Struthio camelus: one gene and its partners. The protein of the gene in region 4 purifies or fractionates together with the protein of the main gene of each other region. This does not show direct contact. Links are inferred from orthologs where the notes say so. Each region holds a gene or a part of one and is shown on either strand. Other genes may lie near its edges.

The links.
Region 1: the proteins of TMEM259 (region 4) and SRPRB purify together in Homo sapiens (affinity purification with mass spectrometry; 3 studies listed by BioGRID and IntAct, counting the BioPlex papers as one, with this or other methods). This does not show direct contact. The link is inferred for Struthio camelus from reciprocal best matches to the Homo sapiens genes TMEM259 and SRPRB.
Region 2: the proteins of TMEM259 (region 4) and TMUB1 purify together in Homo sapiens (affinity purification with mass spectrometry; 3 studies listed by BioGRID, with this or other methods). This does not show direct contact. The link is inferred for Struthio camelus from reciprocal best matches to the Homo sapiens genes TMEM259 and TMUB1.
Region 3: the proteins of TMEM259 (region 4) and ERLIN2 purify together in Homo sapiens (affinity purification with mass spectrometry; 3 studies listed by BioGRID and IntAct, with this or other methods). This does not show direct contact. The link is inferred for Struthio camelus from reciprocal best matches to the Homo sapiens genes TMEM259 and ERLIN2.

What each region holds. Positions count from the first base shown.
Region 1 is NC_090950.1:2,691,205-2,698,665, reverse strand, and holds the start of SRPRB (signal recognition particle receptor subunit beta), read right to left. Parts: upstream 3,016-7,461; 5' UTR 2,960-3,015; coding exon 2,845-2,959; intron 2,687-2,844; coding exon 2,592-2,686; intron 2,207-2,591; coding exon 2,129-2,206; intron 315-2,128; coding exon 232-314; intron 1-231. Other genes in the region: TF (serotransferrin), read right to left, coding at 5,297-5,331, 6,129-6,315, 7,190-7,374. UniProt on the Homo sapiens protein: Component of the signal recognition particle (SRP) complex receptor (SR). Ensures, in conjunction with the SRP complex, the correct targeting of the nascent secretory proteins to the endoplasmic reticulum membrane system.
Region 2 is NC_090943.1:449,597-456,576, forward strand, and holds TMUB1 (transmembrane and ubiquitin-like domain-containing protein 1), read left to right. Parts: upstream 1-4,976; 5' UTR 4,977-5,044; intron 5,045-5,200; 5' UTR 5,201-5,222; coding exon 5,223-5,635; intron 5,636-6,028; coding exon 6,029-6,383; 3' UTR 6,384-6,478; downstream 6,479-6,980. UniProt on the Homo sapiens protein: Involved in sterol-regulated ubiquitination and degradation of HMG-CoA reductase HMGCR. Involved in positive regulation of AMPA-selective glutamate receptor GRIA2 recycling to the cell surface.
Region 3 is NC_090968.1:6,909,580-6,916,748, forward strand, and holds the start of ERLIN2 (erlin-2), read left to right. Parts: upstream 1-4,165; 5' UTR 4,166-4,222; coding exon 4,223-4,329; intron 4,330-4,439; coding exon 4,440-4,521; intron 4,522-4,684; coding exon 4,685-4,731; intron 4,732-5,498; coding exon 5,499-5,560; intron 5,561-6,525; coding exon 6,526-6,651; intron 6,652-7,169. UniProt on the Homo sapiens protein: Component of the ERLIN1/ERLIN2 complex which mediates the endoplasmic reticulum-associated degradation (ERAD) of inositol 1,4,5-trisphosphate receptors (IP3Rs) such as ITPR1.
Region 4 is NC_090967.1:7,317,476-7,324,786, reverse strand, and holds the start of TMEM259 (membralin), read right to left. Parts: upstream 3,004-7,311; 5' UTR 2,766-3,003; coding exon 2,550-2,765; intron 1-2,549. Other genes in the region: phospholipid-transporting ATPase ABCA7, read right to left, coding at 5,487-5,633, 5,717-5,960, 6,076-6,168, 6,260-6,363, 6,446-6,580, 6,659-6,800, 6,892-6,998, 7,090-7,152. UniProt on the Homo sapiens protein: May have a role in the ERAD pathway required for clearance of misfolded proteins in the endoplasmic reticulum (ER). Promotes survival of motor neurons, probably by protecting against ER stress.

The DNA of each region.
Region 1 (7,461 bases), on a different chromosome or scaffold from region 4:
CCGCTCTGTGTCCCAGGGACATACCACAACCCCTGACCCTCCTAGCTGCACTTCCTTTGCCTTCTGACCCACTACAAACTCAGGTAAGTAAGGAAAGCTGAACAGTGACCAACTCCCACCACCACGAGGCACAGCTAATGACTATCAGGGCACCACCAGATGAGGTGAATCCAGCCCAGCTCACAGCACATCACATCTCAATGCCATCACCTGCCCCCTCCTCCAAGTTACCTGGCTGCAGCCTTGAACCTCTCCAAGAACTGAAGCCGCAAACTCTCATGGCCTGGAAGGTCGATCAAGGTCACATTGGCACTCTGGACACAGAAGAAAGAAGGTATTACCAACACATGATCTAGTAGTACATATGCTCAAGGCCTGGAAAAAAACAGTCTGACAGCAGATCCCAGTTAGCTTGGCGCTGGGACAGATGTGAGCTGATGAACCTCCATACGGGACAGAAGCATACGACTCTCTCCCAAATGCAGTCTTTTCCCCAGCCCAAACAATTCCAACAGGCAAAAGAAATGCTGAGGAGTGACATTCATGGCCAAGACTTGGTAAGCAGGCAGCCAACACCAGCAAACCATCCAGCAGAGCAGAGAGAACAGAGCATGACTTAGAGAGAAGAGAACGCCCAATCCTTTTCTCCTTCACAATATCTGCCCTTCAACTAACCTACAGGCATAGCATGAAGGACAAAGCTTCATCAGAGTAATCTTTCTCAATGCACCAGCAGATTTACGCTGTATCTTGGCAGCAAGAAGATCTCTGCACACCAAAATCACAATTTCCTGTCCTGTAAGTTCCTAATAGATAATGCTGATCTCACAACCGCCGAATCAAGATATCTGCATTCACACACACAGAAGATCTATCCAACTACAATTCTACCTAAATACACATAAATCTGGGGGAATAACAAGAAGAAATGCCCTTGGAAGGCACTTTTTGAATTGAAAGCAGTGAATGCCTCTTTCCACACGCTCTCAGACAAAGCAGTGACATTAAAGAGAATCTCTCACATACACTCCTAGTCAAAATGAGGCCAAGCAGGACCATGTCATCTTTCTCAATACCACTCCGGTTGTTCTCAAGACGGGGAGAGAGCGCTACACAAGACCCTATCCACTTACCGCTTTGAGATTTTAGTGGAAACCTTGACTGCATTAAAAAAAAAAAAAAATCACAAAAGCAGCAGTCTTACAGCATTCTTCCACCCCTCCCCCTCCAAATATTTCCCATCTGTCTGCTCAACCTTAAAGAAACACTGATTAAAAAAAAAAAAAAAGGCCATGCACTTGTTTCTGTTAAGTTTTTAACCTCTTATTATTACTACTGGCACTGAAGATTGCCAGAAGACAACGTTCTCTGTCTTACAGTTTACCTTATACACCAGCACTTAACATGCTGCCAGCTTGCCAGTTTCCCTACTATGTGTTCATCCAGCAACAAGAAAATAAACATTTCTAAATCTAAAGAGAGATCATCATAAACTGCAAATAACTAGGTCTGTGACATAGTCCTGAAACTGAAAGTAGTCAAATGTTTTTTGAGATTATCTCAAGTTCAACTGGAGAGTCTTTTTAAGCCTACTTAAATTTTTAAATGCCGATTTTCTTGGGAGTGACAGAAATCACTGCCAAGCAAATAAACTGAGCAGGAAGGAGATGTGTGAGGGGAACGTTCCATCACGTTCAGGCCCCTGTCCCCACAATACTGTATATCTTATTCTGCTTGTAAAAGCAACTCTTTTTCTCTTAATTAAAAAAAGCACCCACACACTTACCCATCTTTCCAAAACTAACACATCTGTGGCTTTCAGCTGAACAAGTTTCGTACTCCGATAAGCAAAGTGAAAAAAAAAAAAAAGCCTGCACAGACAAGGAATCTCTAATACCTCCCCATCTTTCCTGCCTTTCCAGTATGCATTGACTATTACAGAAAAATCCTATCCTATGCTTGGACCAAACTAGGGACTGATTTCAAGCTGGGAAGACTGAAATGCAGGAGAACCAAGCCAAGCTTAACAAAGGAGGTCAACTTCACCCTAGTCACAGAGGAGCAAAGGCGTGCACAAAATGTACAATTTTGTGTACGTTTATGAAGCATCAAACAAGTGCCTACTCACCTTGTCGTTACTAACTCTGTAAACAGCAGAGCTATCCGTTATAGAGGTCTGGGTATCTCGATATTTGCCTGTCAACAGCTGTGAAGGGAAATCAAACATTTTCAAGAAAGGGAGACTGAAGGAACACGGACTTCACGTTTCACCCACTCAAAAGTTTAAGCGATCTGTAAAGAGTAACAGACTTCAAATATCTGCTTTAAATTTTAGCATGTATAACACCGTTTCTTTTTTTTTTCCTGAAGAATTTTAAAATACACCCAAATAAGGAAAGAAAATCTGCACTTATACTCGAATCTTCACGCTTTTAAAAATAAGGAAGACAGCGGGCTTGCAAATCCTCCCGAACACCTTCTCTTCATTACCAAGGGGGGCCAGACAGCAGAGAGGAAGGCGCGCAAGCCGGGCACCTCTCCCTCAGCTTGGCTCCTTCCGCAGCCACAGCGAGACGCCGGTCGTGGCTCACCCTGGCGAAAATCAGCGTCTTGCCCGCATCGCACAGGCCCAGCAGCAGCACTGCCTTCCGGCCGCTCTTCCTGCCCTGGATCAACCTCCAGATCACTACGAGAAAGAGAGAAAATCACCTAAATCCGCCGCCAGCGGCACCGGAGCGCGGCCGGGGGCGCAGCCTGGGGCCAGGCCCCGGGCCGCACACGGCCCCCCGCCCACCCCGGGGCCGGCCCGCGGGGCGCCTCGCGCGGGCCAGGGGCCCGACTCACGCAGCGTGAGGGCCACAACGAGCAGGGCCAGGAGGACGGAGAGGACGGCGGGGTCAGGGGCCCGCAGCTCCCGCCGCAGCGAGTCCAGGTACGGCTCCAGCCCGCCCGCCGCCATGGCCGCCCGCACGCGTGGCCGCGCCGCCTCCTGGGAAGCGCCGCCCTCCCGCCGCCGCCGCCGCCGGCGCGCGGCCTGTCGGGGGCTGCTGGGGGCCCGCGCGGAGCCTCATGGGAATTGTAGTTTCCCCGGTCTGGGCGGGCCTTGTCGTGGCGGGCGGAGGAGCGAGGGCCCCGTGGCTACTGCTGCAGACAGGGCTGCCGGGGCAGTGCCCTCAGCCCTCTCGCGGCGCGCGTCCAGGGTCTGCCCAGCTCTGCCGAGGAGGGGAGGTGGGCTAGGGCCGCTGGCCTGGGCCTGGGTCCGGGCCGGGGCTCGAGCCGGGGTCAGGGCCTGGGCCTGGGCCAGTAGCTGGGCCAGGGCTGGGCTGTGGGCCTGGGCCTGAAGCAGGTGTTGACCTTGGCCAGGACGTGGCATGTGGGCGCCCACGCGGGGCACTGAGGGGAGTCGGTGTGGCAGGGCTCCCGACATCAGCGGTCTTGAGGGGGAAGCCAAGAGCTGGTGCCTCACGCTTCAGGCCTGGGTGCTTGTCGCAGGGGGCCCGGCGCGCACGCAGAGGGGATGCGCAGGGCCCAGCGAAGCACCAGGGCAGAGGTGCCCAACTGGTCATTTGGCAGGAGGCGGATGGACAAGGCTGCTGTGAGCAGCTCGCGAGAAGCATCCAAAAGATAGAATTGATTAGTAATGACAAACTGCAATTTCCCCCAGTATCTGTTGGGAAGTCAGTAAGGCTGGCCGTTAGCTGATCTCTTCTCATCCTACCCTCTGCATGCAGCAGCAATGGCATCCTGGCTCTCTGCTGCCTGAGGAATATGCATTTGGAAACTTTTAGAACAAGAGGAGCAACTACTGTTACAAGGGTGGGTGTAGGACAGGGATTCATTAAAACGGTCCCCAAACCCAGATGCAGACTCCATGGGTCATTGTAGTCTAGGAGGTGAAGGAGCACGTTGGCCATTACTGCAGGAGCGTGTATTAAATGCACAACGAGACATTGAAAAGAAAGGAGAGAAACTGCACAACTCCTGACTGAGCTCTTTAACTACCTGAACATAAAACACTGAAAAATTGAAGAAGTGGAGCACATGAAAAAAGTAGTGCAGATAGCATAATTGTGGGATACAGATTTAGAAAGCGTAAGGTCTAAAGTGAGTTTTGATTAGCAAGGAACATAAAGGACAAAAAGCTCTATAAATACACAAAAACATTCAGAGCATACTGTGTAATCTTTGCTAGTCCTCAAAAACAGGTTAAACAAGCCATCTGTCCAATGTACTTGATCCTGCATAAATGTAAAGGACCGAATTTCATTGCTTCCCTTCACACTCTACGTTTCTGTCTTCTAAGCCAATCTTCAGTTAGGCTAGAGGACTTTTCACAACACATACCATATGACTTTCAGAGATCATAACTGCAAGTCCATCAAAATATTCCCTGAAAATCAAGAGCTGTTAGCATTTTGCTGCAATCTGATCAGCTCTGCCATGCCTGCTTTGACCTCAAGGGTGGGACCTGATGGCTTGTTTCCGTCTCTGTTCCTCTGAAGCACAGAACCTCAGCAGGCCCTTTTTAGTCTTGCCTTTTTATTTTCATCATGGATCAGGCTATCCACCTACTTGTTTGTTTTCCAGTCAGCAGCACGTAAGAGTGAACTGCCAAAACACGTTTCTAAATAAGTCCTAGACTTGTTCAAAAAAAAGAAGTCTAAGCTTAGTACTGTGTTTTGAGAGCGCTGCCTGATGGAAATAGTTCTGCTGTCTGCGTTATTCAGACCCAGCCAGTTGAGATACAAGATGGAGGTATTTATGTTCACACCTTCCCTCTTATGACTGCTATCTTTTTGTTCTTTTCTTTTGTTTTTCCTTCTCCACCCTTCAGTTCCGCTACTCTTCCTGTATGCCAGCCACACCAGTCAACTGTCATCTGCCTAGAATACTGGGATAACTCGAGGTAAAAGCATTGCTAATTAGGGTCTAAAGTATATTTAATCCATTTTACTTTGAAAAAATGTTGAAAAAAATCTCTCCAATAGCTTTAAATGAGAACAGCCAAAGTGGTATCTGGCACAGCAAGAGGTACTGGGAAAGGAATGGGCTTAATTAATATTTTGAAAAATCTCAGAAAACCCATTTAGACTTTGAGTTTTTATTTCTTGCTGTGATGGCAGCAGAGAGCTGTAAAGTTTCGAACAGCCACTTTCAGAATGATGTGGAAGGGTAAAGGAAGCAGCAAAGGCAGAAGGTCCTCTGTGAGTAGTAGGTGTTCAATGCCGAGGACACAAGGAAGAGTCTTGGCTCAAAGTTTCCTCCCCTTTTGACGAGGGTCCCTCACAAACCACTACTAGTCAGCAAGGAAGGTGCACATCTGGAGGAGATCTGAAAAGGGAAAGAACAGGGAGAAGTTCAGACCGTGCCTGCAGCTCATTTGAACAGGAAACACACAGCCGCTCCTGTTCCCCTAGAACACACGCAACCATGGGAAAAACTTCAGAGCATGGAAAACATATCCAGCGTACCACAGAAAAACTCCCCCAATCCCAACTGATTCGACTGACTGGAGCGGAGCAAGGTCTGGAATTGCTACCTGTTCTTGTTGTATGTTAAGCAAGCAGAAGCCCTGTAGGGGACAGTGCAGGAATACTTGGGTGGTGAGCTTGCAGATGTATGTTTAATTTCCAGATCTTTCCCTGAAACAGTTCCCATGAGTTGGTGCCTAGCAGACTAGATGTACTCATGGGACTGTAACACCAGGGCACTGGCTCAAGTAATTAAAAAATCACCAAGTATTCAGTGAGCACGGAGAGGCTTATGTGGAAAGCCAGTAAATGAATGGGGGTGAAATGGGGGGGAGCTCTCAGTTTCTAGCTTTAAGGCGTATTAACCGCAGGTCAGTGTGAACATGCACTGACAGGGCAGGGTGGGTTCTTTTACTGTTTCACAAACTGCATATTTTCAAAAGATAGGTAAAAAATCTTTGATTCCTATTGATGCTAGAGCAACAAATTTTGAGTCAATTTTCAGTTCATTTAAATAGCTGGGAAAGTAGGCATCTTCATGAGTTATCCTCATTTTGCTTCAAAAAAATTAAATGGACAGCAACAGAAATCACTCTCCACATCTGTGAGGCTAAGAACTGCATTTCATTGACTTCTTCCTGAAGATGTTACAATTACCTGATGGATTGCATGTATTGAGACTAGCAACTGAAGAATAGTATTGATCTCCCAGGAATTCCTTGTATGTGATTCCTTCACGGAGTTTAACCAGACACTTGGTCAAGTCTTTAAACAGAAGGTCCTTGGTCTCAGACTTAAACATCATGAACTTGTCTTTATCAGTTCCTTTTTCTCCAAATAATTTCTGAAATAAAGGCATGAAAAATAAGTGCATGCAAAAAGTAAAAAGAAAGCAAGAATTAGCCTGATACAAGTCTAGTTCTTAGTCTTAAGTTCTTCACCGTGCAGAACTCATTATCCTGGAAAGCCCTTAGTCAAGCTCCAAAAATTTAGGACTTAATCTTCTGCCCATGTGGTTAGATGGCTGAGCTCTCAGTGGTAATTGCAGTTGTGGCCTGACTGCCAAAACAACCAGTTTTTCTGTTTTAACGCAGTGCATTGCAAAGCCCATTTGCAGTTGCTGCCAGTCAAGAGTTGAAAGCAAAAGGAGCTGACTTCCAAAGTGCCTCTTAACAGCCCCTGATGGTGGAGCTCATCTCAGCATTTTCAGTGTAAAGCCAGAGAGCTGGTTTAATCTGGTTACCTTTACACCAGTAGATGAAATACTTTGTATGTGCAAGGAGACTGCTATCTTCCCAGGGCCACGCAACTCCACGCCTGCCTCATGCCTAAACCCAGGGGGATTAGAGACCAAGCATCCCAGAGGAGTTTCCTAAACACATGTATAGGAGCAGACTGTCTCTTTTTAAAGACATGGCTACAGAAGGAGGTGGCAGCTGTGATCATCTCAAAATTTTAGTGTGGCAATAGCACCCAGTGGGATCTAGGTTTTACCTATGGGTGTTTGCTAAGGTGGCAAGGGAGACAATACAGATCTGAAAGGATGGAAGGAGAAGGAAGCTAAGGGATATGGAGATGCAGAGCTGTGACCCTGTATCAATCAATCAAAATCTTTCACATTTCACTGACTCTGAAACTCAGAGCATCATTGCTGTAAAAATGCGAACATGCAGTGCAAAAAACAAACGCAGAACATTTCTTCTACGGTCAGTACTTACCTCTTGTCCCTCCAGCAGCTCACGGATTTTACTTGCTTTCTCAGGACGTGAGATCACAGCATGAGTAGGAACTTTTGCCAAGTGGCAGGACCTGTAATCCCTGATATTTGCCCGTTTCCCATCAGTGCACAGCAACTCATATTGGTCCATTGTCAAATTTTTAGCCCACTCGTCTGTATTTGCACCTTCAAAGAGAATTGGTTTGAAGATTCAGAGATCTTGCATAGCAGAAGCATGTCAGCCTCACAACACCTGATTTTTCACTGCATGTA
Region 2 (6,980 bases), on a different chromosome or scaffold from region 4:
CCATTTATAGGCTTTGTCCTTTGTTGCATGCCTACATTTAAGCCTTGACACTGGAAACTGCTTGTGTGGGTAGTCCACCTTCACACAGCGAGCTGCAGGACCGTTTGTCCTGCAGGACAGGACAATTTGCAGAAGGGATTCATTCCTCCTCCACCCCTCCAGGTACACCCTTCCCCAGGAGGACATGGGGGCCCCGGTCGCTGGGAGCCCGGGAGCGCCGCGGCCCTGCTCCAGCCCAGGCAGCTCTGCGTCTCCGCAGCTTGCCCCACGCCAGTGGGAAAGCGAGAAGGGCTCCTCGGAGACCTGCTCCCTCCGCGGGCTTGTCCAAACTGCCACGTTCGGTTTGAGGGCTCTGCATTTCCCCAGGAGGTTTTGTCAGAAACGCTTCCGCAAGCCCGACCGTCCAAGGCTTTTGTGTCCCAGAGGACAACCTGTGGTCATCTTCTCTCTGTTAATTATAGCTTATTTAAATCATTTAGTAGCAGCAAATAATACATTTTGATTCTTCACCGTGTTTTTTCTCGTCTTCCTCCACTAATGCTCTGCTGCCCTCAAAGCTTTGTCTTTTCTTTACTCATTTATTCAGCTCCCACTTACCCCTAGTGCAAGTGCATGTCCTCCTGTGTCTGTGCTAGCCTCTCTCTGTCCCCTGAACCGGTGACACCAGTTGCTGGCTGCTGCCCGCAGAGAGGGCATGGCCCGGCCCCTCGATGACCGCCGCGGCCCTGAACAGGCAAGTGTCCAGCGCTGCTTCCTCCGCGTGCTGGTCACCCGCGTGGCGGTCGCCCTCAGCAGCCCCTCCGGAAAAATCGGGGCACAGCTTTGTAATTGGTGGGTGGGCGATACCAGCCCGCGCTCCCTCTGCCCCTCGCCGTGCCCCGCCAGCACGCTGCTCTCCCCCCTGCAGCTCGGCAGCACCGCGGTCCCCTCCGCAGCCGCCCGGCCCCAGCCTCGCTCCGCCGAGCCGCCCGTCCTCCCCCCGCGCTCTCGTTTCTGGCCCAGCTCCCTTCCCCACAAGACGCTGCCACGTCTTTGACCGGGGCTGACACCTCTCTCTCTGTTGGTAGGAGGTTTTGAAGAGCAGTTTCATCTGCAGAGGCGTTCAGCTCGCTCACGTCTCTGCTCCCACACACCCCGAGCATCGCTGGAGGCACTGAGGATGCTAAGGAGAGTCCTCCGTCCCGCCGCGATCGTGGCGCCAGGGGCATCTGCCCCCTGCCACCGCCCAGGGAGCGAGGAGGAGAGGGACCAGCACCGGTCATGAAGCTGGAGCTGGAAAAGGTGCAGATACAGACCAGACCAGGGATGCTCCAGCGTAAAACGACTGAACCTACAACTTCCCATTGTGCGGTGCAGGCTCCAAGGCAAGTTATGTCAGGAGGCTGCATCCTTCCTCTGCCGGAGAGCGCCGTTCTCCCCGTAGGCTTCCAGGAACTGAGGATAAGCAACAACGCCGCAGCAGCCTATTTTTAATTCTGCTGTGCGCGCTAGAACTCTGCTTTGGCAGCCCCGCTTTTTAGCTCTCCCAGTGCTATTTGCAGGTCATTAAAGACTTCACTCCTTGTGATCACAGCAGGACGAGCCCTGCTCTTGAGTTTTGTAGACAGCTGTACCCTGAAAATAAATGTTATGTTTGCAACACCTCCTGTCTCTACTTCTGCACACAAAACGGGATTAAAACATTATACAACTGCTAATGCTAACACTACAATTACATTTCCTGGAGCTTTAAGACCTCCTATCCTACACCTCATCAATCTGCATTGCTGCGCTTTGGTGATAAGCTGAAAGCAGTGCTGAAGAGTGCAGATCAGGCCTGAAGGAGGCAGGGGAGGAGGTGGGAACCTCGGTGCCCAGTTCTGCCACCCCTGGTTCCCCACCTGAATCTGGATTTCAAGCAGGGCCAGGGTCAGGAGGCCCAGCCCGTACCCAATCCCATAAACCAACTGGTCCTTCTGATCTGGAAGCAGTTGGGAAACGGGAGCCTAGAAGTGAGAAACTAATGAATTCCTCTGAGCCCCTTGTGCCCTGCAGTCGCTGCCACGCTCAGATCTACCGCAGCAGAACGGATGCTGGAGTTTGCACGCTGCCGCACAGGAGTGTTTCCAAAGCTTGATCTACTTTAACAGTTTCCTTCTGATTTTATTATAAAAATGTACTTATGCCACTGTGGAAAAAGTGATAGATCCTTGGAGGTGATGCACTGGAGAAAGCGGATATTGTCACCCAATGATCTCCTTTCGGCTTTGTTCTTTTATGCATGCTATGGATTTTTTTCTTCCACAAGTCTCCTCCATTATCTGATTTTGAGGGGACAAGTCCTTTCAACTTCAAAGTCTGGAAATTTTGATCAAATCCTTTGTTCTGCATTTAAAATTATTTGAATGTTTTTCAAGGACAGAAAATTTGAGTTCCTAGCATAGTCTGAAAGTTCTTCTTCAGGTTTAATACCAGATACTAGCTCAGTCCAGAGAGATTTTAAGACAAACTTTTTGAAATATCTTTGTTTATAAAAACTAAGCTGGAGACAAAAACTACTCCAACTAACTCTTAATCTGTCTCTCAAGCTTTCCATCTTAATGAATCTCGCAGCTACGATAATAGTATGTAAGGGGAACCACAGAGTCCCTCCAAGGATCCTTGTAACTTTGTCAGTTTTAGTCTGAAGCCTCTTCCGTTCACCTCCCTCTTGTATCTCTGCACCGTATAATCCATTTACTCTCTGCCAGACACCATTTCTTCGCTAAAGCGTGACTCTTGCCAAAGACGGACTCTGCCTGTGGAATTTGCTGTCCTTGGCTAATTGCCAATCTTGTTTTCTATATACAAATTAAAGAACAGAATATCAGTTCAATGATAAACAAAAATAGTTTAGCTTTTAAGCAGAGCTGATGACTTCATGATATTTCAGTTGCATGAGAAATTTAATCTAGAGAGTTTCCAAGAACATCATTGTCCCTAGGAGCAATCCTGGTCTTCCAGGCCTCCCAAAGCGCCACCGCCTTGGTAGCGCCACTGCGTCGCCAGTGTTTATGCTGACACGTGAACTTAAACGTTCTTCCCTTTGAGCCCAGACCCAGCTGCCGCGGCTGTTGCTTGTAGCACCTCCTTTGAGGTGCCCTGGAGCATGATATCCCCTTTGGTTGGGCTCAGTAACGCTGAGAACTTTCAATAGATGATGGCTGAAAAGAGAAGAGTCCTGCGATGGTGCATGATGACCTTCTGCCGTGTTTCTTCTCACCATGCTCGCCTTCCGCAGGCCACTGTGGGAAAAACGTGTCTCGCCCAGCTTCTGATTTCTGCAGTGAAAGCACCTAGCTGCCTGGGAGACCAGAAGAAGGCACATACATAGGAAGAGAGACGAGGAGCATAGCTAGAACCATCACGGTAGCAGTGCCTTTTCCTGGCTGTGGACCTGCCAGGTCCACATGGGGCTTCCTAGCAGAGCTTTCACTCGTGACAACAGCAGGCAGCCGCAGTACGCCTCTCCCGGCGGTGGGCCAAGGAACCCACTGCGGTCAGGGCGTCCCAGGGGGCTTGAAGCACAGCAAGCCCTGAGGGCTGGCCAGGGAGAGCGAGGAAGGACAGAGCGCCCCGGGGGAAGGAGGACAGAGCGCCCCGGGGGGGGAAGGACAGAGCGCCCGGGGGGGGAAGGACAGAGCGCCCCGGGGGAAGGAGGACAGAGCGCCCCGGGGGGGGAAGGACAGAGCGCCCAGGGGAAGGACAGAGCACCCCGGGGGGGAAGGACAGAGCACCCTGGGGGAAGGACAGAGCGCCCTGGGGGGGGAAGGACAGAGCACCCCGGGGGGAAGGACAGAGCGCCCTGGGGGGGGAAGGACAGAGCACCCCGGGGGGAAGGACAGAGCGCCCTGGGGGGGGAAGGACAGAGCACCCCGGGGGGAAGGACAGAGCGCCCTGGGGGAAGGACAGAGCGCCCCGGGGGGGGAAGGACAGAGCGCCCCGGGGGGGGAAGGACAGAGCGCCCTGGGGGGGGGAAGGACAGAGCGCCCCGGGGGGGAAGGACAGAGCGCCCGGGGGGGGGAAGGACAGAGCACCCCGGGGGGGAAGGACAGAGCACCCCGGGGGGGAAGGACAGAGCGCCCCGGGGGAAGGACAGAGCGCCCGGGGGGGAAGGACAGAGCGCCCGGGGGAAGGACAGAGCGCCCGGGGGGGGAAGGACAGAGCACCCGGGGGGGAAGGACAGAGCACCCGGGGGGGAAGGACAGAGCGCCCGGGGGAAGGACAGAGCGCCCGGGGGGGGAAGGACAGAGCGCCCGGGGGGGGAAGGACAGAGCACCCGGGGGGGAAGGACAGAGCGCCCGGGGGAAGGACAGAGCACCCGGGGGGGAAGGACAGAGCACCCGGGGGGGAAGGACAGAGCGCCCGGGGGAAGGACAGAGCGCCCGGGGGGGGAAGGACAGAGCGCCCGGGGGGGGAAGGACAGAGCGCCCGGGGGGGGAAGGACAGAGCGCCCCGGGGAAGGACAGAGCACCCCGGGGGGAAGGACAGAGCGCCCGGGGGGGGAAGGACAGAGCGCCCGGGGGGGGAAGGACAGAGCACCCCGGGGGGAAGGACAGAGCGCCCCGGGGAAGGACAGAGCGCCGCACTCTGCAGCCCCGTGTCCCTGCCTGCCGGTCTGGGCCGAGGCCCGGGCACCCCCCGTGCTGGACCCCTCGGCCCGGCCCGGCCCGGCCGATGCCGGGACCCCAGAGCCGGCTCGGCCCCCCGGGGCACGGGGCCTCGGCGCGGCCCCCCGCCGCCCCGCTCACAGAACTACACCTCCCGGCATGCCCCGCGCGCCCCGCGCAAACCCTCCCCCTCGCGCATGCGCCGCGGAGGTCGCCGCGCCTCCCGGCCCGCCTTGCGAGCGGGCGGGAACTACCCGCCCCGAGAGCCCGTGCGCGGGGCGCGGCCAGGACTACCGCTCCCGGCATGCCGCGGGGCGGGGCGGAGCCATCCCGTCGTGCCTTGCGGCGGGGGCCGGTTCCCCCGGCCCGGGAGTCCGCGCGCGGGGCGGAAGTGGAGCGCGCCGGGATGGCGGCAGGTGAGGGGCCGGGGCCGGGGCCGGGGCCGGGGCCGGGGCCGGGGGGCGGCGGCGGCGCGGGCTGCCGCAGGGCGGCGCGCCCGGGAGCAGCGGGAGTGCGGCGGCGCCCCTCGGCGCCTTCCGCCGCCGCCTCACGGCGCTGCTGTGTGCCCGCAGGTCGGTAGCCGCCGCCGCCGCCATGGCGCTGATCGAGGGCGTGGGCGACGAGGTGACCGTGCTCTTCGCGCTGCTGCTGGCCGCCGTGGTGCTGGGGCTGGCCTGGGCCTCCACCCGCGCCCCCGAGCCCGCCGAGCCGCCGCGCGGCCCCGCGCCGCCCCGCGCCGCCCCGCCGCTGCCCGAGCAGGGCCCCAGCGCCGGCCCGCCCGGCGGCCAGCCCAAGGCGGCGGCAGCGGCGGCGGCGGCGGCCCCCGATGGGCCCGGCGGGCTGGCGGCGGGGCTGCGGCCCCGGGCCGGCCCCGGGCCCGCGCAGGACGCCCCCGGCGAGGCGGGCGACCCCGCCGACCCCACCATGGTGCTGCGGCTGAAGTTCCTCAACGACACGGAGCGCCTGGCCCGGGTCCGCCCCGGCGACACCGTGGGGGCCCTGAAGAGGTGAGGAGCCGGGCAGGCGGCAGCCGCCCCGCTCGTTCCCTGCTGGCGGCTGTCCGGTTTGCCCGCCCCCAGCCCTGGTTTCTCTTTCCTGCCCTTCCTTGAAGTCGCTGTGAGCTCGGAGCTGCTGCCGTTTGGGCTCGATCCTGCCCGTCTCGGGATACTCGGACAGCATGTTCTAGCGGGCACCTTTGATCCTAGCAGCATGTCTGACACGGCTGAGGGCAAAGCCTGGAGGAGGGGGGTGCAGCCAGGCTTCCCGCACTCAGGGCAGATGGCGAGCATGTTTGCAGCCTGGTCTGGGGTTGGGGGGGAAATACTAAGGCAGAAGGTAGATGGGAGGGACTGCGTATTGGTGGAAGCATGACGTTTCTCTCCTTGTCTTCTCCAACCCAGGGCCTATTTCCCAGGCCAGGAGCAGCAGGTGCGGCTGATCTACCAGGGCCAACTGCTGCGAGATGACGCTCAGAGCCTGGCTGCCCTGCACCTCACCCACAACAGCGTCCTGCACTGCCACATCTCCCAGCACAGCCCGGCCCCTGCGCCCACCGGCCCCCACACTTCTGCTGACCCCGTGCACACAGCCCTCAACGTGGGCAGCCTCATGCTGCCGCTCTTTGTGCTCATGCTGGCTGTGCTCTGGTACTTCCAGCTGCAGTATCGACATGTCTTCACTGCCACTGCAACCACCTTCTTGGCTGGCCTCACCTTGCTGTTCAGTTTCATGGCCTTCACCATGTACCGCAGATAGCATTATCCCTGCACCCCTGAAAGGATCCTACAAGCCCTCCTACCTGGGAATAAACTTTGTACTGGGTGCAGTTTGCCCACTGCACCTGAACACGAGGGGGAGTCTGGGCTATTGACTACGTCTCCTGGTTTTTCTAGGGGGACTGTGTAACAGACTCGCCGGATCTGAGGGAGTCCGATCAGGGCTTGAGCCCTGACGTCTAGCCTAGGAGGTTGGCAGTCTGTGGCCCGTGTTCTGTAGTCCTTTGGCTCCTTTCTCTTTATGGCAGAGGGAGAAGGGGTGCTGCTGTAAGGGAGTCCCTACCTGGAGCCTGGCAGTGCTAGTTCTGTGCTACTGCCGGAGCCTTAACTGTTGCAAGTGCAAAGTGTTGTGCTACCTCTGGGGAGGGGAACTACTATATTGCAAGGAGCAAGTTCCTCTCTAACAGGAGGGGTTGAGGTGTCTTGAAGTGGTCCTGTTGGCCCCTGCTAAGAGGAATCCTGCTGTGCAAATGGAGCCCGTCCAAGCTCACCTGCCCCCATCTGCTGTTTGCACGTGTTTTGTGCGCAGGCTGGGTGCTCCTCTTCACATGCTTGCTCATCCACAAACTTGTGTATG
Region 3 (7,169 bases), on a different chromosome or scaffold from region 4:
GCTGAGTCTCGTGCATGCTTTGGGAAAATCCACTTTCTTCCCCTGGAGAAATTGCAGTTTCTAAGTGCCGTTAGTCATTTTCCTTTAAAAAACCAGCATGAGGGGCTGGAAACATTGCTCCTTTCTTTCCTGGGAAGATGACCTGGCATCCTGGCATCCGGCCACGGGGCTGGCCTCGGGAGCACCAAGGGGAGGAAAGCCTCCGTCCGGGCAAGGTGCCCTCCGGCGGTGCCAGGCCGCGGCGTGTCCCCGGTGCCCGACGCCGCGCGGCGACTCCGCCGGGATGCTCCGCGTCCCCGTCCCGTCCCGTCCCGCCCGGGGGGAGCCAAGCTGAGCCCCGCGGGGCCGGGACGGCGTGCGGCCGGGTGCGGGAAAGCGCAGTGCGTCGTCGCCCTTTTCCCGGCGCCGCGAGGCTCTTCCGGCGGGGACGCTCCCGCGGGAGCTCGCCCGGGCCGGCGGCCGTCCCGCAGCGCCGGCAGGGCCGCGACGCCAGCCTTGCTCTCCGCGCGCCCTCCGCGCCCCTCGAAATACCTCTGACATGAAATAAGCCTCCTTATCGCCCGGCGAGCGGGGCGCCGGCAGGCAGCGAGTCAAGGAAAACTCTCCCGGCCGTGATTGCGGCGCGGGTGAGCGGGGGCACGGAGCGCAGGCGGGCCCTTCCCTGGTTTCCAGCGCAGGACTGTCAGCGGATGATTAATGGCTAACGCCAGAGACCTGCCTGGATTGCCAAGTGCTGTATTGTTAGCGCTGACATGTAACGAGCCCGGACATACTTTAACACAATTCTGCACCGTAATCTGCAAATAACGTTTGATAGACTTAATTTGTTAAGTATTTTTCCCTCCGCCCCCACCCCCTCTCCCCACTTTCATTCCCTTTCACACCCCAGCGCGCAGGGACCCAGCCAAGGGGCCGCCCGGCCATGCCGAGCTGAGCCGAGCCGAGCTGAGCCGAGCTGAGCCGAGCCGAGCTGAGCCGAGCCGAGCCGAGCTGAGCCGAGCCGAGCTGAGCCGAGCCGAGCTGAGCCGAGGCGAGCCGGCTTTTTATGCCTTTCCAGCCCTGCACACGTTCGGCTCGCTGCAGAGCGCTGCATTTCACCCGGGTGTTTGCAGCCAGTGCCAGCTGCCAGGCTGCGGGACCCTCCAGCCTCCTGCGACCGGCCCGTGCGCGCGGGCAGCTTCTCGCCGCGGTGCCCGATCCCGAGCGTGCGGCCAGGCAGGAGGGAGGCCGGCGGGCGCTGCCGAACGCTTCGCCCCCGCCCTGGCTGCCATCGGGGCGCCTTTTCCCGCGGTGCCGATGCCCCAAGACCGGCAGCGCCGTGGGAAGCGGGTGCTGCTGGGAGCCTCCCGGCAGCCTTCTGGCAGTGCCCACTCCGCGTGCCCGGCCGCACCGCCGCTTGCTGCATGTCTCCACGGGGAGGCTTCTTTTTTTTATTTTTATTTTTATTTTCCACCGCTGTTCACAACTGTCAGGCGGTGATTAATGGCCAGCAGGTCCGAAATTGCCTTTATTGCCAGCTCGGCATTGTTGCCGGTGACAGTTAACGAGGTTGGACAGAATTCTACACCACGCTTTACGTGGGGTCTCGGATTTGCCTCCTGCAGAGCTTGCCGCCGCCGCCAGCTTTTGTGCACAGAGCGACAGGAACAGCCCCGTTCCCGGGCCAGCGGGCACGGCCTGCGCCCCCGGTCCGCCCACTGCAGCCCGCTGCTGCCCTGCCAGCTGCCTGTCTGTCCATCCAGCCAGCCGTCCATCCATCCGGCTGTCCATCCATCCGTCCAGCTGTCCATCCATTTGGCCGTCCATCCATCCATCCGTCTGTCCATCCAGCTGCCCATCCATCTGTCTGTTCATCAATCCATCCATCCGTCTGTTCGTCCATCCATCCATCTGTCCGTCTGTCCATCCATCCGTTCAGCTGTCCATCCATTCGGCCGTCCATCCATCCATCCGTCTGTCCATCCAGCTGCCCATCCATCTGTCTGTTCATCAATCCATCCATCCGTCTGTTCGTCCATCCATCCATCTGTCCATCCATCCAGCTGTCCATCCATCTGTCCGTCTGTCCATCCATCCGTCCATCTGTCCATCTATCTGTCCATCTGTCCATCCATCCATCCATCTGGCTATCCATCCATTCATCCGTCCATTCATCTGTCTGTCCATCCATCCGTCCATCCATCCACCCATTCATCTCTCCGTCCATCCGTCCATCCATCCATCCATTCATCCATCCATCCATCCACCATCCGTCCATCTGTCCACCTGCCCATCCGTCCTTCCATCTGTCCGTCCATCCATCTGTCCGTCCATCCATCCGTCCGCCTGCCTGCCCGTCCTTGCCGACAGCCGCGCAGGGGCAGCAGAGAGGCGATGCAATAAAAAAATCACCCAGCTGTTGGAGGGGGGACGGGGGTGACTTTTGCAGCCCTCCTGCTGCAGACAGGCTGGAGACGGCGGCGTTAACACGGGCGCTTCAAAGACCTTCCAACTTGTCTCAATTAAACTTCGCAGTAAAACCCGCGGAACATTTTTATACGGGCTCCACGGCAGCGGGACGGGGAGGGGGATGAAAAAGTTTTCCAGTGCTGGAGAGCAGTGGATGCAATAAACCGTTTGTTCATGTAAAAAAGTCCTTGCTGTTAAAAACCAGAGAGAGTCGCAGCACAGACACCACTTAATGTTCCTGGCCCGAGGTCTGAAAGTAATGATTTTTGGCTATTTTTTTCAGGATTATTACAAATAATATTTACCTTTGTGCTAGCTCACATCTTGATACTGTTAAACACGTGGCCACAGATGGTTTCCCACTCAGGGTAATGACACAGCTCTGATGTTATGAAGTAAAACCCGGCCTGCAAGCCAGAACACCCCACATTTAAAAATCTATTACTTTCCAATATTATATGAATGTAGTTTGCTTCAGCTCAGAGCAATTTCCTAGTTTACCCTTATTAAACTGAGAGGGGGCTGAGCAGAGGTTCTTGATTTATGAAACACATACTAGATTCATTAAAACCTTTAAAGATTTAATACATTTTATCAAGGCCTTAAATCTGGGCAAGCATTTAAAAAAATCTAATACAGGGTGTATTTCATCTCTGGCGCCCTTTTGCGCTTATTTAAGAGCTGTAAAATTTGGATTGACAAATATTGCAGGTATTTCATTCTTTATTTCTAAATGGTGCTGAATCCTTCTGACAGGCTTGTTATATATAACCCTAGGAGATCTATCAAGTGTAAAGATCAAATTATTCTATATTGACATTTTATATGTCTCTCTTATGTTTTTTAAGTCCCCTTCAACAATTATAGATGCAGAAGATTTAATATATTTTTGCATGGTCTGTCACTTTTCCGATTATTGCTCCTCTGTCTGGGCCAAACACGCATCCAAATAGGGAACAGCTTTTTTTAAACCGCCGGCAGCGTCCGCCTGTTGAGCCAGGAGGAGAGGCCACGATGGGCTGAGGTGGCCTGTCCCTGTGCCTGGGGCCGGGGCACCCCATGGGGCACGGTGCCGGTGTGCGAGCAGGGGGTCAGCGCGAGGGAGAATTGGGCTTTGGGGTGCATCCTGGGACACTGGGCATGGGGCATGGTGGCCTGTCCCCGTGCCTAGGGCCAGGGCACCCCGTGGGGCACAGCACCCACTGGCCTGCGTGCGAGCGAGGGGTCAGTGCAGGGCAGAACTGGGCTTTGGGACACACCTTGGGGGGCCTGGGGACAGGGCATGGCAGCCTATCCTTGCACCCAGGGCCAGGGTGCCCTGCGGGGCCGGGGGCTGTGTGCGAGCGAGGGGTCAGTGCAGGGCAGAACTGGGCCTCAGGGTGCTGGAAACCAGGCAAGGTGGCCGGGAACGGGAACCTAGGCCCGCACGAGGGACCAAGGCATCCGGGCCTGCCCAGCCAGCACCACCGGGGCGGGAGGAGCCGCCCAGGCACCGCGGGCAGCTGGGGAGCAGCGCCGGCCGCGTCCCCGAGAAGCCCCGGGGCGCCGGGCGGCGGCGGCCGGTCTCGAACCCGGGTCTCCGCGGCGGCAGCCCCGCAGCTCTGGCGCCCCCTGGCGGCGGCGGCGGGGGAGGGGGAGGGAGGCGGGGCAGGCGGGCGGAAGCGGGCGGGCGCGCGGCGATGGCGTCACGGCGGCGGCGGGCGGAAGCGGCGCGGCGCGCGGGGCGGCGAGCGGGGCGCGTTGCCGGGGCGACGCGCGGGGCCGGGGCCGGGCCATGGCCCAGCTGGGCGCCATCGCGGCGCTGGCGCTCAGCTTCCTGGCGGCCGCCTTCCTCTCGGCCATCCACAAGATCGAGGAGGGCCACATCGGCGTCTACTACCGGTGAGCGGCCCCGCGGGGCCCCCCGTCCCGTCCCGTCCCGTCCCGTCCCCGTTCTTCCCCCCCGCTCGGCGGGCCGCGCCGCCCCTGACGCTCTCCGTTTCCCTCCGCAGCGGCGGGGCGCTGCTGACCTCCACCAGCGGCCCCGGCTTCCACCTCATGCTGCCCTTCATCACCTCCTACAAGTCGGTGCAGGTGCTGCTGCGCGGCCGGGGCCTGGGCGGGGAGGGAGAGCGGGGGGGGCCCGGCCCGGCCCCGGTTCCCCCCCGCGGGCCGGCGGGAGCGGCGGCCCTCGCGGCCTCCCCGGCGGGGCTCTGGGGGCTCCTCAGCTTTGCTGCTGAAACCTTTCTCTCCTCAGACCACGCTGCAGACAGACGAGGTGAAAAACGTTCCCTGCGGCACCAGGTGAGCTCCGCTCTCCTCTCCCCCTCGGCTCTTGGTCCCTGCGGGGCCTTCCCCTCGGTTACGCGCTCCATCGCGCTTTAAAACGCATAACTCTGTCCTGACAGACTTGTCTTCCCTCCCTGGTCCTAGCTGAAAGCGCTGAAACCCCTTCTCTAAGCCCGTGCCCAAGCCGATGTGCGGGCGTCCCGAATGTCTCGGTGCCGCTTTCCCCCGAGTTAACGTAGACAACGCTGACAGGAGTCTCCGTGATCTCGTTCTTGATCTAGTTAAGTTTCTGCTGGGAACAGATTGCGTTTCAGCTGGTTTCAGAACACTTTCCGAGCCTAATCTTTCCTGTAGCGGTCTACGTGCACAACTCTAATACTCTGAAACTTGCATTCTCTGTTTTGCCAGTCTGAAAACTGAAGCGCAGGAAGGAAGTGAACAGCTCAATGTCTCAGGAGAGCTGCAACTAGGAAAAGGACTCAGGAGTTTGCATTTCCCTATGGTAGCCACTAGTAATTGGTCTTTTCAAACCTGGGCCCACATACTGTGATCCAGTTCCTAAAGGACACTTGTAGCTAAAACCCTGAGTCTGAGACGCTGAGCGGGATGTGAGGCTTTGCTGTAATGTCGCAGCGTGCTGCACTGAGGGCTGTAAATGTTGCACTCAGCCCACTAGAGGGGAGTGTCTTCTGCTCAGCGGCCATCTGGCTGCACAAGCAGAACGTTTGGCCACTAGTAAACTTTATTTTTCTTCTTCTTTTTTTTTAATCTTGTTTTTGCAGTGGGGGAGTGATGATTTATTTTGACAGAATTGAGGTGGTGAATTTCCTGATCCAAAGTGCAGGTGAGTTCCTCCCTTTGACCCTGCAACTCCTTGCACCCAACATCTGTGTGACTTTCCTTTCCCAGGGTTCTTTGTGCTCTGCTAGTGCAAGACAAGGTTAGGAGTTTGCGCATGCTTGTGCTGTGACTGATTTGGAGCTAGGGAGTACTGCTGGTATTCCTCTGTATACCTTGTAAAGCCCCTACTTCCTGGACTTAAACCTTTTAACTAGCTTTTCCAGACATTTGTGTGTTTATTAGTTCTTGCACACGCTTGTTCTGTGTTACTAATTGCTTCACTAATACCTGCATGTCATTATTACTTTTATTAGCCGTGTTATTACAGCTGGACTGGGCGTTGTGCTTCAGTGAAGAGCTTCTGTTTTGAATAATGACATGTGCAAGCAGTAGGGGAGACGGGGAGTCCGTGAGCAGAAGGCTGGCATCTGAGGCACAAAAGGAATGACCGATGCAGTCCTTTCCTCAGACTCTCCTTGTTAACATCCTGTTGTTTATGAGTATGGTCTTATTGCTGGGCTCATCAGCGTCCTGCTTTGGAGCCTCTGTCATACTGCAACTTCAGGATCCTCTCCCCCTGCTGTGCGCAGACCCTGCGGTCTCTCTATTCTGCAAGTCAGGCACGGTCCATGTGTGCCATCTTCCTGGCAGACATTTGCACATAGTGCAGAGAGGGCTGATATGACTTAGGTGTTATTCTTCTCACAAAGCATGTGACAACACTGGCTAGAGTGTGGTGTACTGTTAGCAATAAGTAAAACTCCCCTGTCAGAATACGTGGACAAAGCGCTCGTCTGCAGTGCAGACTTCTCTTCTCTGGTGGGTGCTTTCTTGTTTCGCTGATTGGCACTGCATCTCTTGCTGTTGGTGGTGTGACTCAGCCATAAGCTTTCTACTGCAAGCATTTAGCCCCACCTGAGACATCCTCTGCACCAGCTGTTAACACTGGTTTCACTTCTTCTTTTGTAGTATATGACATAGTGAAGAACTACACAGCTGACTATGACAAAGCTCTTATCTTCAACAAGATTCACCATGAGCTGAACCAGTTCTGCAGTGTCCACACGCTGCAGGAGGTCTACATTGAGCTGTTCGGTGAGCTGCGTCTCTGACCTGTGACACTAGCTCTACAGGCTCGGTGCTGGGTTGATGGTTCCTTGAATGATGTTTCTGATAGCTGTCTGCGTGGTCTGTTGATACAGAAGTTGCTACCCTGTAACCGACGGGCTTTTACATATTAGTTGTATCTGCTCTGTTTTGAAACAGGATTGATAACCAGCTATAGTATTTACTTCTCATTACCTTCCAGTGCTGAGGGCTTCAGTATGTTGTAACAAACAAACAAAGAAAAAAAACTGTCAGAAGTAGCAGGGAGTTCTAGAGAAGCAAATAGAAATTCTGCTGTGTGATTTGTGCATTTAGCTAATGTGACTTGTTGAATTAGTCACAGGGTTTGCTAGTCCAGATGCAGAAACCAGTCCTCTGCACTTTGCTGTCGCAGAAAGTATGAACACGCGCTCACTGGCCTATAGATTTGATTAGCTTTGTGATGTGCCGTTGCTGCAGCGCCTGGCACTGTGAATGAGTGTTAGAAGACAGCAGTGCTTGGCAAA
Region 4 (7,311 bases):
GACCCAACCACCGGATACCCTCAGAGCTTTCAGCATGCAAACCCTTCAGTGCAACATGGCTCTCCCTCTCAAAGATTTTTAATAAGAAACCCAAACTTCTCTTCCATTCCTCTCCTGCCAGGCCACCCTGTCATCATAGGTAGTCAACTGAAAAGAATCCCAGGCTTTGAAAGCTGAGAATATTCTACACGAGACTGGAATATTATTCAGGTATATTGCAGGCTTTGAACCCCCCAAGACAATATAGACTGTAAGATGGTCCAATCCTGTTCCTTCTAGCGCTATCACTATATACTAACCTAAGTCTGCGATCCCCAACATGATACAAGACACTGGAAGAGTACCTGTTTAAAGCTGCAGAGGAGTATTTTTCATTAAATTGGCAAATCTCTGTGCTGATTACCAGGAAATAGCTGTTTTTCTATCTTAGCAACATTTTACTATCTCAAGAGTTTTAAGCAAGTCCAAGCTGAGGTCTCTCTTACACATAACCAAGCCCACCAATTAGAGAGAAAGTCCTTGCCTATCACACCAATGCAATTAAGTCCAAGAGCACCATCCGGTACCAGCAACGGGATATTGTTATTAAAATAAAACCACTTGTTGCAACAAGTATGTCTGCTGACCTAAAATTCAGACAAATCATCAGACTACTAGTTACTAGTTTGTCAAACTTCAAAAAGACTTTCAGGCTGGAGCATACCAATTTCATAACTAGTCAGAAGATGCTTTTCAATCAAGAGAATAGCTATGAAGTCACAGTAAAATGAAGCGGGCTAATAAAGTCTATTCCTTATAGTAAAGACAAGAAATCTAGCATGATGTAAACCAGTACTGTCCAAAGTTCACAGCTCAGAATTTGGAGGAGCTCTAGCGCAGCAAACAGTACAGCTACATATGATACATTCATTTTGCAACTGCATTAAGGTGCTTATTTTTAAGTAAACTATCTGTCCTTGCTACACATTCTTCTTGACCTACTTGCTATGAATAAACAGATTGGTAAAAGAGTCAGATCTGTGGAGGAGCTGCATAGCAAGGAAAATTAGAAAAAGGGCAGGACTACCATTAATACAGAGCAAATCCCACCTTTTCTCTAATCTAACAACATCTTATGTGAACATCTCTCTCTTGTCTCTGTTGGCCACGATGAGGCCAACAGAACCATAAGCAGTTTCAGGGATTCACCTGACCAGCAGTTTGCAGGACCACGGCGTCCAAGTTAAGCTCCTACTGGATACTCTATGTACAGAGAACTGAGACCACGCCGCCTGCTAAAGTCTGCCTTAAATCAGTACGACTTGCAACACCAAGGTTGGAAAAAGACTGTTCTCTGCAGATGTCCTGTGAATACTTTTATCTCCTCAGGTGTGCTTTGATCCAAACACGCAACAGAAAGAACTGATACTAGCTTGGCGAGCACCGCTGATTTCACCTGACAGCCTAGTGGTTAGCGTCATCCCATTTCCAGTCTCCAGTCTGCCTGAATCCACTTATACAATTGGGGGGGGTGGGGGGGTGGTAAACCTGAACGTTTCCCAGACAAAAAGAGAGCATTACAAAAGTACACTGTCATATCATGCTTGTTATGTTATCATGAAAAGGCTCTCACTTTGTATTTGGTAGAGAAAACATATGTGTGGTATGAGACAAGGTGTCCTCAATGTATGTTTGTTTTAAATTGGCTGAATTTTAGAAACTCATAACGGAAGCACACCATTGTCACTTAGCAACCTCCTTTCCCCTCTTCCCCTTATTCTTAATTTCCTGTAATTGGCACTAGTGAGAAGTGTCAGCATGAGACCTGGAAGCAGCTTGAGAGCAGTTGGCCAGGTGGACAGCAACAGGCCATTGTGACCAATGCACTTCAATTCTAATTTGGAAGATCTAACTGGTAGTCCCAAGAAGAATTCAGCTTCAATATCCCACGTAAACGTTAGCCCTCTCTGTGAGGGCCCAAACCTGCACCCACATCAACAAAATCGCAGGCAGCTTTTTACCTAGTTAGGCAGAGGTGTGGCATTGTCCACAGATAGCTGAGGTTGTTGACCACTAAAAAAAAGTGTGCGCGCGTGGTGGGGGGGGGTTGTACATTAATTACTTCTAGAAAGGACAAGACTTTAGCAATACAACCATCAAATATTTTGAATAAGCCATACACCCGAAAAGAGTGATTACTTGGAAATGGAATCAGAAGCCTTTCATACCCCTATCACTGGTTTTAATCCATGCTAGACCAACTATCCATCAAGCCAGATTAGCGATTTGCACCCTCTTTTTATATATAGACCCCATACAAGAGTTCTGGTGTTCTGTGGACTGCCAAAGATCACTGTAATTATTCTTTTCTTCCTCACCAAAGAGGAGCGCATGCCAACTCAGTGGACAACTTTGTCTGGATGGTTCAAAACCAGGCTGTGCTCCTAGCAGAGGAGCAGGATCGAGCTGGGGCAGGGGGGCGGAGCTGTAAGTTACACGGAGGGAATTTATGCCTTAACGCCTGACTACAGGCTTAAAAGCGATCAATAAGGCACACTGCTGCCCCTCACCTTGAGGAGAACGAAGAACTCGAAGATACGGCGGAAGGACGGTGGGAACAGGCGGGCGTAGGTCACTGCCATCTTGAAGAAGAGGGCATGGAAGAGGCGATCGCGCACATTGATCAAGGGGTTCTGGTTGAGGTTGGGATTGCGGACACCCCGGTTGTTCGCGCCGGCAGCCGCGCCGCCCCCGGTGTTGTTGGCATTGGCCTGGTTCTCGGACATCCTGACCGCGGGGGCAGGGAGCGAGCTGGCACTCTTCCCGAGCAGAGCTCCCGAGCGCCGGTCGCAGGGGCCGCTCCTCCTTCGCCGCCCCGGAGGGGCCCTGCTCGCCCGGGGGGAGGCCCAAGTGTTCTCCCGGGCAGGCGGCGCCCCCGCTGCCCGCACGGGTCGGTGCCCAGGGCCCGGCCCGGCCTCCTGCGCGCCGAGGCGGGGTCCCGGCGGGAGCGGGTCAAGCCTGGCGGCGCCCGGGCCGGGGCCAGGCCACGGCGGCGCGGCGGGGCCCGGGAACGGCGGGGCCCGAGCAGGCCCGGCGGGGACACGGCTCCTGGGCCGGCCCCGCGGCCATGGGGGGCCCGTTACCAGCGGCGGCCCGGCACGGAGAGCCGCGGGCGCCTCTCGCTCGCTCGCGCACTCGCCTCGGTCCTTCTCGACGCCCCTCACCGCCCCGCCGCCATCTTCCTCCGCCGGCCCCTAGCACCGACGGCGACAACGCGACGACGCAAGAGCAGCGCCCCACAAGGGAACTCTGGGACGGTGGAGGACCGGCCCGCCTCCTCAGCGGCATATGCAAAGCGGAGGACTCCCGCCATGCATCGCGCAGCGCTGGCCTCACTCTTCTGCGCTTCCGCGTCGTAGAAGGCCAAATTTTTGCGATTCCGAAGGATGCCAAGCACTAAGAAAAAGCTAACTTGTTTAAAATGCAACTCTTTAAGCGAGAACATGTGAAGAAAGAAAAAAAATCTCCCTGACCAAAAAAGTATAAAACACTGGGGGTTTAAATAGCTCAGCGGCAGAGTGAGGATTCGTGCTCGCTTCGGCAGCACATATACTAAAATTGGAACGATACAGAGAAGATTAGCATGGCCCCTGCGCAAGGATGACACGCAAATTCGTGAAGCGTTCCATATTTTTGGACCCGTCGCTGCTTCCTCCCTCCCCGGGATGGCTCTTTGGGTCTGGGTTTAGTGCCTTGTGCAGGAAGCTGCAACCTGTCTCTGTCCCAGCTGGGGACAGGGGCAGCCGCGTCTGTCACCCACAGGGATGGGTGACGGGTGGGTTCTGGAGCCTGGGGCAAGCACCCCTGTGTGCTGGCACCATGGGTGCACGTGGGCACCGCAGCCGTGGGTGCACCACAGCCCCATGCAGCTCCCCAGGGTGCCCATGCTGCCGCGGGTGCTCGCCCCACCACCCTGGGCAAAGGGCAGCTGGAGGTAGAGCCTTGGGCTGGGGGTGCCCTGCCCGGGGTGGTGGGGGGCCCGCAGCCGCGCACAGCGTGTGGCATGAGCCAGCTGCATTGCGGCTTGTCCTGGGCACGGGAAACCTCAGGCTGGGCCGCAAAGGTGGCTCCTGAGCGGGCTGGGCACGGTGCAGGGAGCCACGGCTCCAGGGAGGTGTCGTAGGGGCAGGAGAGACCTCGGCGGGGGCGGGGGATTTGCACCTCGCTCGGGCTGTGCTCAGACCCCGGCCCAGTCCTCCTCGCCCAGGTGCCACCTTAACGGGCACTAGCTGCCCCGCTGGTGCAGGCAGAGCCCTGGGTGCAGGTGGCGAACCCCCCCCCCCGGTCTAGGAGCAGCTGGTTCCTCGTTCCTGCGTCGTTGCTTGGTTGCGCCGTGCAAAGCAGGGCCGGATCCTGCCGGGCACTGCAGGACAGGCAAGAGGACGCGGGGCTGCCCGCGTGCTCCTCGGCTCAGCCCTGGCGCCCCTGAGCCCCCCCCGGGCGGCCCCGGCCAGAGCATCCCCGCAGCACGCGGCAGGATGCCCCAGGGGCTCGGCGCCCCGGAGCAGCCGGAGAGGGCAGCTGCAGCCGCCCCGTTTCGTGTGGACGGACCTGGGTTGCCTCCTCCCACCCTGGCAGCCCCGCGGGGGAGGTACGTGGTCCCCCGCGCGTCGCAGACGGGTGCCGCTGGCCGAGGGAGCAGACGGGGGCCCCAAAGCCTCAGTGGTGCCCCGGGTCCCCCTGCTCGGGGCTGGCCCCCTGACGGAGCCGGCTGGCGTGGCCACGGGCACGGAGGGGCTCAACCCGGCCCCGTGCCGGGGGCACCCGCGGAGGGAGACGGAGAGGAAGAGGCAGGAGCCCCGCGCGGAGGGTGGGAGAAGGGCCCTGGGGGGCAGGACCCCCTGCTGCCGCCCGGCCCTGCTGCCTGCCCAGCCCCGGCCCGGGGAGCATCCCGCGGCGAGGACGATCCTGGTTGACCTTCGGCCGCTCCTGGCGACCACGCGGCTCCCGGGGAGCTGCGGGGCCCGGAGCAGCGCCAGCACCGGCAGCGCCCCGACGCGGGGCAAGGCACCGGGCCCCCCCGCTGCCCCCACTGCAGCCCAGCCTGGGGCCCGCGGCCTCCCCGCTGCAACGCCCCGGCCCGGCAGCCGCTGGGCGCTGGAGCGTCGCAGCAGGACCGGCCCCACGTGGGACCCGGCTTCGTCCTGAGCCCTCGGAGCGACCGCCGGGCCCCAGCAGCGCTGCACAGGAAAACCAGCCCGATCCCGGAGCAGCGCTGTGTATCTTTATTTAACTTACTATTTTACACCAGCTCCTCCTCTAGCAGAAAGCAGACGGGTCCCAGGGCCAGCCCCAGCACCCGGCCGCGCTGAGCCCACCGGCACCCGGACCTCCCCGTGGGGCTGCTGCCCCGTGCCCGGGGGAGCGGGCAGGATGTGGCCAGGCCCCCCCCGCGCAGCTCTGGGGTGCCGGGGCTTGCCGGCAGCACCGGCCCCCAGCATCGCGCGTCAGACCACGCTCTCCTGCCAGCTCTCGTCCTCCAGGAATGGCGGCAGCCTCGTGGCGGGGCCGGGTGCCGGGGCCGGGTCCTGCCCCGGGGCTGGGTCCCTGCTGGGGTCCTCGTCGCTCTGCTCCCTGGCGAAGTGCACAAACACCTGCGGGGACGGGGAGGGTGACGGCGGTGACGGGGCAGTGCCTGCGGTCCCCATCCCTGCCCATGGCTCCACGCCCGGCGCACCTGGTCCAGGGTGGTCTGGGACACGGAGTAGTCCTGGATGCGGCACGGGCCGCGCTGGGCCGCCAGGACGCCGAAGACGCTGGCCAGGGAGCAGGCGCGGGAGGGCAGCTGGTACTGCAGCAACCCGCCGTGCCGCTCCTTGAGCACGATGCCGGGGAAGGAGCGCTGCAGCAGGCTCTCCACCGGCTCCAGCGCCGGCCCGGGGCCGCCCACCCGCACCACCACCGTGTAGCCGTCCCCAAACCTGCCGTGGGAAGAGGGAGGCAGCGCTGGAGAGGCCTTTCCGGCCCCGCCGCTGCCCTGGCAGGGCTGCCTCCCCCTGGCCGCCGGGCCGTGCCCGAGTCCCCGTCCTGGGTTACCGGTTCTTGAGGTGCTGGACGCTCCCCAGGCAGCGAAACCGGCCGTTCACCATGATGGCCATCCGGGTGCACAGCGCCTCGCACTCCTCCATGCTGCGGGCAGGGCAGGCGTGAGGCCCCCACGCGGCTGGGCGGGCAGGGGCATCCTCCAGGCTGCGGGACCCGGGCGCTCGGGCCAGCTCACCTGTGCGACGTGAGCACCACGGACCTGCCCTCCTTGATGACGCTGAGGATGCAGTCCCAGAGGAACCGCCGGGCGCGCGGGTCCATCCCGGTCGTGGGCTCATCCTGCAACGGCAGCAGGGTGACCCGGGGCAGGAGCAGGGCCAGGAGCCCCTCGGAGCCGCCGGCCCCCCGGCCCCGCACTGACCAGGAAGACGACGGGCGGGCAGCCGATGAGAGCGATGGCCGTGGAGAGTTTGCGCTTGTTGCCCCCGCTGTACTTGCCAGCGGGCCGGTCTGCGTGCGGCCCCAGCCCCAGCTTGGCGATGCCCCACTGAGCCACCTGCGAGAGCAGCGGTGAGGGGCTGAGCACTGGGGAGCTGAGCACAGGGTGCCTGGGGCTCCCGGCTGCCCGCCTCACCCTGGACGTCTCCTCCTCCGGGACCCCGCGCAGGCGGCTGTAAAACTCCAGGTGCTCGCGGCCCGTGAGCAGGTCCGTGACGGCGTCGAACTGGGGGCAGTAGCCCATGTTCTGGTGCACGGACTGCAGGTCAGTGAGCACGCTGCAGAGCGGGAAGGGGTGAGCGTGGCGGGGGCGAGCACGCAGCGGCGCGGCGCTGGCCGAGCCCCTCCGCGACCCCCTGGCCCGCTCACCTGTGCCCTTTCAGCCAGGCCTCCCCCAGCGTCACCTCCGTGTCCCCCGTCAGCATCTTGAAGGTGGACGTCTTCCCGGCACCGTTCACCCCCAGCAGCCCGAAGCACTGCGCGGGACAGATGGGGGTAATGGCAAAAGCCATCCGTGCCTGCACCCAGGGGTGCCTGAGCCCCCCACATCCCCATCCCGTCCCTCACCTCCCCGGGGGGGATGGCCACGCAGAGCCGGTCCACCGCCGGCACCTTCCTCCGCCAGTACACCTGGAGCAGGGAGAGCGCGTTGCGGCACGGACCCGCCTGGCTGGGCGACCCCCGCGCTCCGGGGACCCCCTCGCCCGCCGTGCCGGCACGTCCCCGCGGGCTGCGCCGGGCCATGCCGCTGCGGCTGGGGCGGCGCGGGCGGACCGAGGATTCCCACGG